Linked DNA regions of Canis lupus familiaris. The protein of the gene in region 3 purifies or fractionates together with the protein of the main gene of each other region. This does not show direct contact. Links are inferred from orthologs where the notes say so. Each region holds a gene or a part of one and is shown on either strand. Other genes may lie near its edges.

Region 1 (4,168 bases), on a different chromosome or scaffold from region 3:
GCTCTCTATTCTCTTCTCAGCTCTCCTGAGAAACCTTAATACTGTGAAAATGACTCCTAACTTTACATTTTCAGCATATCACTCATTAGTTTAACTATTTTTCTGTCTTCAGATTGCATCAGCACCAACTTTTTGCCCTAAAATGTAATGTCAAAAACAAAGTCCATTGCCCTATTTCTGAATTATTTTCTATAAGAAACCACTAGCACCAAACTAGAACATCTCCTTTTTCACTCCTCCAGTTGTAGAGCTCTTTGATGACCATGGTTTAAAATGTTGGTTCACTAGAAAAACAAAACTACTCCAGGTATAATGCCTCTTGAACTAAAAATACAATTTCTCCTCAATCACCTAAAACTACCCTCTCGGAACATTGTTCTCAATTGCTCCTTTGGGCTGTATACATGTAACTGCACAAACACAAACTGACTCTAAGCCCACTTAACAACCTCCATCCATATTCCCATCAAGCTAACTTCCTGATTACATTTGTCCCTCACACCCCCCAATTCCAAAAGTCTTAAACACTACCTCCACCTGTATCTTTCTTCCTAAGAGAGACCTTCTTTCCCAGATTTGGTTCAGACATTCCAATTGGGTTTGTATAGTCCAACACCAACATTTTGCTAATGGAAAATATACAAATACATTTATACCTATAAGGCACCAGAGTAGTATGACATATAATGATTGTAAATAAATATTGGCTCATTCCCCCCTTTTCCTACAATTTTGTAGAATTTATGTTTCATAGCCTATGCCATAAGTAAAAGCATCTCAAAGGCAGGGACCCCAAATACTTTGCTGTTTCTTTGCTACCCAAACATACAATAAAACATTACCGTGCTTTTTAACCAATCTCCAGTCAAAGCAATAAAAAAGAAGTCTTAAAGTTAGTAAGCAACTTCGACAGAGTACAAATCTACACTCAAGTTATAGTTTGCTAGGTATGGCTTCCCTTCCTCCCCAAAAAACAGCCTATGCCCAGACTAGATTTCTCTTCCTCCCATCTTTTGTGAAACATGGGATACAGGACTTCCTCAAGGTCTCAAAATAAGATAACAGATCCAGAGACATTTGCTTTTGATTCAACATCTAACATTACATCTACTCATCAGAATTTTCATGTCATTACCCATTTAAAATAGATAGAACTTAAGGTTCCTTACAAAAGCATCCCAAGCACAAATATATAAAGAGAAACAAAACAGCTGGAAAAGTTCCAGGAGAGGCAAAACGATCAAGGGATCAAAGAAATCATTCTAAGACTGACACAGAAAACTAGGCATGATGATGGTAAATAAAGAGGAACAATCGAAATCTAAAAAACCAGGAAAAGATGAACTCTAGCGTGTCCTAGCATTCTCAAAACAAAAACGCTGGAGGTGCCTTGGGACTTTAAAGAGACGGGTTTGGGATAAATAAATGAAATGTCAAATATTTCAGGGGCTAGTACACTTGTATAACCCACTACCTCGAAAAAGTACAAACGAAAACCCTATTTGAGAAAGTTTTAAATATATGTAAAATCAAGATCCTGAATGGAGAAGTTAGCACAGACAATCCCAGCCTTTCATTCATTCCCACAAAGCTTCTCTCAGCAGCGGCTTCACAGGTAGTGAGCCTACACTGTTGTCTGGAGGAGTCACAATTCTCAGTATGGTACTGCCTATGTTCTGTTAAATAAAATTCCACCCTATGCTTAACACTTAAGGTCTATTTAAATACATGGAATGGTCCTTACTTTCCTGCACCTCGCCTGGGCACTTTGACGGGATACCTAAACCTCACCTTCTAATAATGGAAGGGAAGAGAAAAGAATCACTCTTCAAATAATCAAATATCAAAAAGTTTCTCCCTGTTTGGTAGCAAAGTAAGGATAACTCAAACAAGCAAAGTTTCAAGTCATCCTGCCAAATTAAAAAAAAAAAAAAAAGTGCTGGCAATTAAGATAGGCTACTCAAAAATTAAAAAAAGAAAAGAAAAGAAAAGGCATTTGGGTAGGGGGAAAAAGGTAACAACTTTTATAAACTGCTTGAAGTACTAGATGCTCTTCCCCCAAGTAAGTCATGATTGGTAAGAGTCAACTTCCTGAGTACCTGAAATCTCTTACAGTATCCTGACACGCAGGAGTTGGACCCAGGAAATGAGAAGGTTAAAAAAGAAATAAAGAAAGAAAGAAAAAAAAAAGAAGAAGAAGAAGAAGAAGAAGAAGAAGAAAAAAAAAAAAAAAAAAAAACAACTCCTGTACCAATAGGTACTGAAATGAAAATCTCTCAAGGAAGACTGCAAAAACAAGAAAGGAATTTTACCGAAAGTAAAATTCAGGGGTTCACAGGGTAAAAGGTTCCCTCCCAAGAACCCTAAGAGTTGCCCCGAAACAAAAACCACAGCGCTGTTTCACACCCGGTGCACCAGGAAAAGGTGTATTACAGAGATGTCCTTTGTGTGCACATATGCTTTGGCTTCCTCAATTTCCTTTTGCCGATTTCTGGCCAGAAAGGTGCAAGTGTCCGCTCTGGACAAAGACAGAACTCCCCTGAGACAGGGACCTGTAAGCTTGCGCGTTACCCGTACAAAGAGGTGAAGCGTCCCGAGACCCAGGACGGCCCAAACCTTCTCCCCCGCGGTAAAGATACAGATGCACCGCGCCTCATCCACACGCGCACCCGCACCCGCACCCGCACCCCGCGAACGCGCGCCCCACTCCGGCAGCGCCAACCCGCCCCCCCCCCCCCGCCCCCCGCCCCGGCGCCCTCTCCCCGGGCCACTCACACTTCGCGGGAGAGCCGCGGCGCTGCGAACCGGGCCGGCGCCCGTCCTCCGTCGGGGAGGCGGCGGCCGCGGAAGGCTCCGGCGCTGTGAGGGCGGAGCGGTGCTCGCGCCAAGCCGGGCGGCCAGCCGGGCTCTTCCGCGCTGCCGGGGCCCGGGAGGCGGCGGCCGCCCCGCTTCCCTCCTGCCGCCCTCTTCCTGGGTGTCTTCAGGCTGCGTCTCCTGCCCGCCCCGGGCCGCGTCTCCCGGGACAGTCCCGTCGGCGAGGCTCCAGATTCTGCTCTTCCCAAGTTTTCCTGTTGCGCTGAGGCTGCGGCCGGCCCCCCGGGTCCCCCCCGGCCCCGCCGCCCTCGGGGCTGGGGCGGGGGAGGGGGCTCTGGGAACTCCTCCCGGAGTCCTGCCGAGGAGCCGGGGGGCCGGCGGCTGGCCGAGGGAGAGGACCCCCCCGCGAGGGGGCTGAGGACGGGGGGAAGGCGAGGGAAGGACGGCGGCGCCGCTCCCGCTCTCCCCGCCGCGCCCGGGCCGCCGCCTCACATCGGGGTCCCCGCCCCCCCGGCCGGGGGGTGGCTGCTGAGCTCGGGCCCCCGGCTCATACACTCCGGGGCCAGATGCTACGGCCCCGGGCGGGCGGCCGAGGCGGCGGCGAGGGGGGGGACCCGGCCGGCTCCGCTCGGCGCCGCCCCCGCTCCCGGCTCCCGCATGTGTCGCTGCGGCCGGGACCCCCTCCCTACACGTCGGGGGTCCCTCGCCCCGCGGCCCGGGACGAGACGGAAGCTCCGGCCCGTCCTCGGCGTCTTCGCAGCGCGGAGCGGCTGACGAGTCCCGGCCCGAGGTAGCCGCCTCCCTGCCCCCCAGCCGCCGGCTCCGGCTCCGGCTCGGGCTCGGGCTCGGGCTCGGGCTCGGGCTCCGGCGTGTGCAGCCGCGGCTGCCGGCCGGGAAGGCGAGGGGGGGAGAAGAGGGGCGGCCGCGGCTCCCGCCGGTCCGGGTCAGGACGGAGGTCTCGGCGGCGGCCGGTGCCCGGGGGCCGGGTCCCGCGGACGCTCGCTCGCTCTCACGCTCTCCGCGGCGGCGGCGGCGGCGCCCGGAGCTCCGCTCGCTGTCTCGCTCGCTCTGTGCGGGGCTCTCGCCTCACTCCAGAGAGGGGCGGGAGGAAAGCGGCGCGGCCGGATGACGCAAGTCACCTAGCAACCGCTCCCCTCACCCCCGCCCTTTTCTTTCCGCCGGGACGTTTCCTCCGCGGGCCTTTTTTTTTTTCCCCCGGTTCTAGGCACCCCGCCCTGGGTGACTGCGGCGCGCTCTGATGACGCGGGAAGGGAAGAGGAAGTCGGGGCTCCGCGAGCGGGTGGGTGCGCCTCGGGCCGCGGGACCTGCCGCCGCCGCCGCCGCCGCCTCTGCG
Region 2 (4,348 bases), on a different chromosome or scaffold from region 3:
ACAGACAGGCCCCGGATGGGTGGGGCTCTAGTGCTCCCCAGGGCTTCTGCTCTTCCCCTGCCAGCCTGACCCTGCACCTCACAGGAGTAGCAAGAGAATTTAATTCCATCATTTTGATTTCTAGGTTTGAACAAAAACAAGGAAAGAAAAGAGAAGATCATAATAGATTTGTCTTTAGCAACTGAGTGGATTCTCATTATCTGGAGTAAGAAAGCAAAGCGACTCACCAGCATTTTATCCCTTTCTTAATGACCACTGCCAGTAGAAATAAGCAACACAAAATAAAACTGAAAAAGGCTAGAACTGTCCAGAGTAAATTAGAGCCATGTTATAAATAAGAATAATCACAACATAGTAAATGGTGAAAGCTGCAAAAATTAACCCTGGAAAGCTAATTACTAGAAAACAAAATATTGGAAGCACTGTGCATTTTATTGTAGGTACATTTTACCTTTAAAAAAAAAAAAGGCAGAAAAAATGCATAGCATAAACCCTGGAGGTTATTCGAAATTTGGAATCTGGGGCCCCATCCAGTTCACTGAATCAGAATCAGCATTTTAACAAGATCCTTAGGTAATTTATATACACAGGCAAGTCTGAAATATTCCTTTATAACACTTATTTATAATAGTAGAAAGTTGGAAATAACTAAATGTCTGTCAACAGGAAAACAGATAAATTGTGGTATATTCATTTAACACTTTAAAAGGAATGAACTAGATTTACATTCTCAGTCAAAATAAATCTCAAAAGCAATGTTGTGTGAATAAAGCTAGTTGTGGGTGGATATATAATAAGCAGCATTTATTTACCTAAATAGAATACCATTATTTAAATTTTAGGAAAACATTAACAAAATTACATATTGCTTCCCTGCACTCACACAGGAAGGAAATAAAAATGTGAACGGAAGACTACAAACGCATTTTACAATAGTGGCTACCTCTGAGGACAGCTTCAAAAAAATGTAACGAATATATCTATAAATGTCATGTGTATATATATATACGTAAACCTTTGCATGTATGTTTCACATGATGTGCGGCAAAAATGACCAAAGATCAAAGTGGGTTAAATCTGGGTAGGGCAGCCTGGTTGGCTCAGCGGTTTAGCACCGCCTTGGCCCGGACGTGATCCTGGGGACCCAGGACCGAGTCCCGCGACCCTGCATGGAGCCTGTTTCTCCCTCTGCCTGTGTCTTTTTTCTTTTCTTTTCTTCTTTTATTTCTTTTCTTTTCTTTTCTTTTCTTTTCTTTTCTTTTCTTTTTCTTTTCTTTTCTTTTCTTTCTTTCTCCTTTCTTTTTCTTCTTTCTTTCTTTCTTTTATTTTCTTTCTTTCTTTTCTTTCTCTCTCTCTCTCTCTCTCTCTCTCTCTCTCCCCCTCATGAATAAATAAATAAATTCTTAAAAAAAAAAAAAAAAATCTGGGCAGCCCGGATGGCTCAGCGGTTTAGCGCCGCCTTCAGCCCAAGGCGTGATCCTGGAGTCGTGGGATCGAGTCCCACATCAGGCTCCCTGCATGGAGCCTCCTTCTCCCTCTGTGTCTCTGCCTCTCTCTCCCTCTCTCTCTCTCTTTGTCTCTCATGAATAAATAAATTAAAAATCTTAAAAAAAAAAAAAAAGAGAGAGAGAGAAGTCTAGGTGATGATGGGACACCTGGGTGGCTCAGTGGTTGAGCGTCTGCCTTCAGCTCAGGTTGTTGATCCTGGGGTCCTGGGATCCAGGCTCTCACAGGCTCCCCGAGGGGAGCCCAATGCAGGACTTGATCCCAGGATCCTGGGACCACGACCCGAGCTGAAGGCAGATGCTCAACCACTGAGCCAGCCAGGTGCCCAATACATAAAATCTTAAAAAAAAAAAAAAAAAAAAAGAATCTGGGTGATGAATGCCTAGTTGGTTTCAGATATAATCCTCTACACGTTTCTATAATATATTTGAAATAGTTCATGCTAAATAAAACAGGAAAAATAAATACGATGCAAATGGGGAAAAGTGTAAAAAGGTTTGGTTGCGCTACTCAGGAAATAAATTCTGGAAATTAAGTTGAATCTGGAAAATGATTTCTCCAGGAAAACTCATTAATACACGATGTAAGCAACTAACTTTTGTCATATGCTCACTGTGTGCCAGACGCGGCTCTAAGCTCTCTCCCTGCACGATCTCGCTTATCCCCGGTTGGGCGATGGGGAAACAGGCTGAGGAGCAGGCAAGCGACGTTGCCCGACGCGCCCCGGGCTGCCAAGCTCCAAATCCGGGGTTCGAGGGCCAGACGCCCCACCGCGGCCCACGCCCGCCCGGTCGGCCCCGCGTACCGTGTACAGCGTCAGGTCGACATGTCGCCAGAGCCACCGGTCGTCCACCAGCCTCTTCCAGCGGTGACAAACCCTGGGGGAGGGGACCCGCCGTTAGAACAACCCCGGCCCCGGCCCCGGCCCCGGCCCCGGCCCCGGCCCCGGCCTTCCCGCCACCTCCCCGCGCGGGGTGCGGGCCGGCACCTGGAGATGCGGATCCGGTCCCGGACCGGGAGGTAGGAGAAGATCTCCAACAGGACTGAGTCCGGCAGGTCGGCCAAAGTCGCCATGATCCGGCCGACACCCACTTCCGCTGGCGGCTGAGGGGCTTCGGGATCTCGTCCCGGGGAGGCCAGCGGGCGGCGGAGGGCGGGGGTGCCAGCAGAGCGGTGGCCGCCGCCTCCGGCAGCGGACGGACTTTCAGCTTTCCTCCTGCGGGAACATGGTCCGGTCCCAGCGACAGAGCCGCCGCGACCCGGACGGAGCGCGGAGGATGGGGCTGGGAACCAGGCCCGAGCCCGGAAGGCGTGGCTGAAGCTCCGGCGCGGCCCGGAGGCGGGGCCAGGGGCGGTGACGAGGCAGGGGGCGGGGCTAGCCGAAGCTCGGGGCGTTCCGGAGGCGGGGCCAGGGGCGGTGACGAGGCTGGGGGCGGGGCTAGGGCTCGGACCAAACCTGGAAGGCGCGGCTGGGGCGGTGACTAGGGGCCCCGGGGCGAGCCTGGGGAGGTGACGGGAGACCCGGGGCGTGTTTGGGTCGAGGACGAGGCCCTGGAGCGGGATTAAGGGCTGGGACAAGGCTGGGGGCGGGGCTAGGGGCGGGGCGGAGGCTCCGGCGGGGCTAAGGATGGAGATAGAGCCGAGATAAGTGGCTGGGGTGGTGACGGGAGGCCCAGGGGCGGGGCCAAGGGCGGTGACGAGGGGCCGGGGGCGGGGCTACAGCCCCCAGGACCCAGCTGGGAAGGCGCCCTGACAGCGGAGGTGCAGGGTGGGGGGCGGGGAACAACCCGGGGTTGTCCTAAGGGGGAGCGAGGCCCTTTTTTATTTACTAATGCTTTTTGATGCCTATGAACAAGAATAAATTTGTAGAACAGAAATAGTTTAACAAAGGGTGTGTTCAATTTTTCATTTAGATTGATAGTCCCAAATTGTTCTCCACAGAGGCTGAACTGACACTCCCACCAAATATATATTGCTCATTTAAAAAATATATTTTATTTATTTATTCATGGGAGACACAGAAAGAGAGAGAGGCAAAGACACAGGCAGAGGGAGAAGCAGGCTCCATGCAGGGAGCCCAATGTGGGACTCGATCCCGGAACTGCAGGACCACACCCTGAGCGCAAGGCAGGCGCTAAACCGCTGAGCCACCCGGGCTGCCCAAAATAAAATATTTTTTTTTTAAATGAGCAATGGGGATCCCTGCGTGGCTCAGCGGTTTGGCGTCTGCCTTTCGCCCAGGGCGTGATCCTGGAGTCCAGGGATCGAGTCTTATGTCGGGCTCCCTGCATGGAGCCTGCTTCTCCCTCTGCCTGTGTCTCTGCCTCTCTCTCACTCTGTCTCTATGAATAAATAAATAAATCATTTAAAAAAAGATTTTATTTTTAAGTAATCTCTATACCCAACCTGGGTCTTGAACTTACAAGTTGGAGATCAAGAGTCACATATTCTACCCACTGACAGCTACATGCCCATATCACTATTTTTAAGATTTTATTTTCAAGTATTTTCTATGCCCAAGATGGGGCTGGAACCCACAACCCCAAGATCAAGGGTCCCATGCTGCAGACTGAGCCAGCAAGGTACCACCATCATTCACTAAATTAGTAGTTCATTTAAAAATTAGCCGTTTGGGGATCCCTGGGTGGCGCAGCGGTTTGGCGCCTGCCTTTGGCCCAGGGCGCGATCCTGGAGACCCGGGATCGAATCCCACATCAGGCTCCCGGTGCATGGAGCCTGCTTCTCCCTCTGCCTGTTGTGTCTCTGCCCCTCTCTCTCTCTCTCTGTATGACTATCATAAATAAATTTAAAAAAATGTTTTAAAAAATTAGCAGTTTATAAG
Region 3 (3,624 bases):
TGAAAGTCTAAAACTCCTTGTTTTTTGAGTATCTGGTATTACCAAGCAAAACATCGTCCTTTGTTCATTAAACTTTTTTTTCTATAGAATTAACAAATTAGGAAGATAAGACGAATGGAAGCAATACTTGGATGTTAAAGTAAGAAGAGTTAGCTAATGTCATGATTCAAAGATTAATAAGGATTAAGAAATTTAAAAAAATAAAAGGGTAATGAAGCTATTGAGTTATACTAAAACAAAAATGTGGCAGATTCCTGCATGTTAATGTTTCCATAAGAGGTTCCATCATAAAAGTCAACTGTAAAATTATTTTTTAAATGTAATATATAGAACACAAAATGAATTTTTAGCAAACTTTAGGAAATTCTTGTTATAAATTACCCAGATTTTATAAACAAATCCCCCCTAACTTGCATTTTGTTTAAAGTAATAACTTTATATCATACAAATAAATTTCAAGTATGAAAAGTGCATTATTGCAATAATACCTCTTTGCAAGTCCAAAATTCTTGTTTATAATAAAACTGTAAAGTGTAAAAAGAAAGAAAGAAAGAAAGAAAGAAAGAAAGAAAGAAAGAAAGAAAGAAAGAAAGAAAGAAAGAAAGAAAAGAAAAAGGAAAGGAAAAGAAAAAAAGGAGTAAAACCAGTGCCATCTATTGCAGAAGTCCAACATCTTCTTAAAATGTTGCTCAACAAGTTGCAGAGAAACACACCTGGAAGCAACATGTAATTGGAAAAAAAAAAAAAAAAAAAGACTTGTGTTTTTACCATTTTACATTATTATTGTCTCTAGTATTTTCTCCTTCCCAAATAGAAATTCACATCCTCTATAATGTTGCTCTTGAGTCAGCCATTCTGTGCAGTCGCTACTTGCATGTTTCCAAAATCCTCTTCTTCTTCATGTGTTCTCTTCAAACTGCCTAAAAATTATTGCATGAATATAACGGGAACTCATTTGTGAGAATGTTAGAGCTAGTAAAATTTCATTTTCATAAAGTGTTATCATGTATATGCACTATGAGAATTCCAAGACTGAATTTTTAGGAAACGTCAGCAAATCCTTTTGCTATAAATTACTAAGCAACTTTGTATCTTCATGACAGAATACATTTCCCCTCGTGAGAATTAATTATGTCTTAGGTATTACTAAAATTATGTCTTAGTATTACTAATAATCATTTTTAAAATAGTTTGAAAAAAATATATTTTAAAGATTATATAAAATGACAATATCGAGTGACAGAGAGCAAGCAAGCCCACAAAGAGGGAGCGGCAGGGAAAGTGAGAAGCAGACTCCCTACAGAGCAAGGAGCCTAATGTGGGACTCCATCCCAGGACACTGGGATCATGACCTGAGCCAAAGGCAGACATTTAATCAATTGAGTCACCCAGGCACCCCTAAAATAGAATTTTAAAGGAAATAATGGTACTTAAATGTTTGGTTACCTTTAGGCACCAGACTCTATGACTTAGAACATAAAATATAAGACATTAATTTTACATTGTACAATTTTATTTTGTAGATTATCTTTTTTGCTTTCATAGACACTGCTGAAAATTTTTCCATTGAAAGCTGTGGTTTTATTACCAACAGGTCTAGAGCTGGGAGAAAGGATGGCTTGCAGCAGATAATACGGCTGCTATAGCTAAATTTCAGATGCAGTGCTATACCTGCATTCTAAAAGAGGTATGAGGCATAAATAACTAATGCAAAGTAGAAAGTGAGGAGGTATAAATAAAGCTCTATAGGAGTTCCGAATAACTAGGGATTGGAGGAAGATGAAGTTAATCATCATTTCTCTTGAGGAGATATAACATGAACTAAGTTTTTAAGGGTAGAAAGACTGAATGTGCATTCTAGGAGGAGAAAAGAGACAAAATGAAACCATCAAGTAGTTTGGCTTTCTGGAGTGCCTATATAAAGAGGAACACTGGGAGATACCAAGATCCAGAAGCACCTTACTTACTATTAACACTCTAGGTTTTCTTCTGAAGGATTTAAGCCAGTGAAGGCTTTTGTACAGGAAAAATACATCAGAACTATCTTTTGTAAAAATAAATCTGGCCACAATGTACAGAATAGACCAAGTGAGAGTTTGGATGGGAGGCCAATATCGACCTGAAATAGAATGAGACTGAGTAAAAAAAGAGATAAACAAAGGTAGCAAGGTCTTAGAAAAGAAGACACAAGTTAAAAGATTTTGAAAGCATGCTTGGATCATTAACTTTGAAAATAGGGGAAGGAGTACTCTGACAGGCATAAGGAAGAAAAGGAGAAGGGATTGAAATACTAATTACAAGAGAAAAATTGGAGTAGCTCATAGTAGTCAACCTACTTAACCTGAAAAATCCTTTCATTTATTAATCACCTTTTATTTTTATTTTTAATAAGATCACCTGAGTGTACTTAGAGCCCCTTCTCCAGATCCCTCTTATTATTTTAATCTTTATAGCAGTTATACTATGTAAAGACTTAAGTAGAAGTTTGATCTTCCAGCCAGCATATTCTATTAACCAGGTACAATGGTATACACACAGCAGAAACTCAATATAATACACATGGATTCATTATAAAATTAAAATTTGCAATTATATTGTGTTTAATATTGTGTATTGTGTATTGTCTACCCAATGTTTTCTAAATAATTTAGATTGTTCAGTATAACTTATAAAGAGCAAAAAATGCTTTCTACCCTTCATACCATCATCCTTCTCCCCAACCCTCTCTAAAATACAAAAATCCTTACCTGTAGGTCCAGAATGAACAGATAACGACCTTTCTATCTGCAGTGGTGACATCATCTGTATTGTTAATTTTGCTAGATAGATGGCTTCATATTCCTGAAAAAGATTTAATTAACTTGAATATACATTCAAATTCTTGGGTACCCAAAACAGTGATTAATGTGTACATTATTTGTATTCTTAGTTTATACTGAAAAATTTGGTGCCATACTGTTGAAAGAGTTTAGGGATACCTGGGTGGCTCAGTATGTTAAGTGGCTGACTCTTGGTTTCATATAAAGTCATGATCTCAAGGTTGTGGAATGGAGCCCCACGTCAGGCTCCACACTCAGTGCAGAGTCTGCCTGTCCCACCCCCCAACACTCTTGCCATGCACTCTCTCTCTAATAAATACATATTTTATTTATTTAAAGACTTCATGAGAAACTTATTTTATTTAAAGACTTTATTTATTCATGAGAAACAGAGAGAGAGAGCGAGAAAGAGAGGCAGAGACACAGGCAGAGGGAGAAGCAGGCTCCATGCAGGGAGCCCCATGTGGGACTCGATCCCAGGTCTCCAGGATCACACCCAGGGCTGAAGGTGGCTCTAAACCACTGAGCCACCGGGGCTGCCCAAATACATATTTTTAAAAGAGAAATAAATGCAAGTTTAAAATTCTTATCATAAAAAAATTAAAATAAAATTCCTATCTCATATTTTCACATTTACTGACAAAACTATAAATCAAGCCACATTAACAACTTGCACTAGGGTATCATACACTGAACTGCTAGTCAGGCAGTTATCTGTTTTCTGCCACTGGGTGTTAGCTATATGATCTCTAACTTCCTCTGTTAAAACACACACACACATCCCCCAAACTCAAAAAATGATAAA

The links.
Region 1: the proteins of STYX (region 3) and FBXW7 purify together in Homo sapiens (affinity purification with western blotting; 4 studies listed by BioGRID and IntAct, with this or other methods). This does not show direct contact. The link is inferred for Canis lupus familiaris from reciprocal best matches to the Homo sapiens genes STYX and FBXW7.
Region 2: the proteins of STYX (region 3) and FBXL12 purify together in Homo sapiens (affinity purification with mass spectrometry; 4 studies listed by BioGRID and IntAct, with this or other methods). This does not show direct contact. The link is inferred for Canis lupus familiaris from reciprocal best matches to the Homo sapiens genes STYX and FBXL12.

Annotation. Positions count from the first base shown.
Region 1 is NC_049236.1:50,770,841-50,775,008, forward strand, and holds the start of FBXW7 (F-box/WD repeat-containing protein 7), read right to left. Parts: upstream 2,860-4,168; 5' UTR 2,776-2,859; intron 1-2,775. UniProt on the Homo sapiens protein: Substrate recognition component of a SCF (SKP1-CUL1-F-box protein) E3 ubiquitin-protein ligase complex which mediates the ubiquitination and subsequent proteasomal degradation of target proteins.
Region 2 is NC_049241.1:51,576,777-51,581,124, reverse strand, and holds the start of FBXL12 (F-box/LRR-repeat protein 12), read right to left. Parts: upstream 2,837-4,348; 5' UTR 2,581-2,836; coding exon 2,495-2,580; intron 2,385-2,494; coding exon 2,312-2,384; intron 1-2,311. UniProt on the Homo sapiens protein: Substrate-recognition component of the SCF (SKP1-CUL1-F-box protein)-type E3 ubiquitin ligase complex.
Region 3 is NC_049229.1:29,225,604-29,229,227, reverse strand, and holds part of STYX (serine/threonine/tyrosine-interacting protein), read right to left. Parts: intron 2,842-3,624; coding exon 2,748-2,841; intron 921-2,747; coding exon 847-920; 3' UTR 1-846. UniProt on the Homo sapiens protein: Catalytically inactive phosphatase. Acts as a nuclear anchor for MAPK1/MAPK3 (ERK1/ERK2). Modulates cell-fate decisions and cell migration by spatiotemporal regulation of MAPK1/MAPK3 (ERK1/ERK2).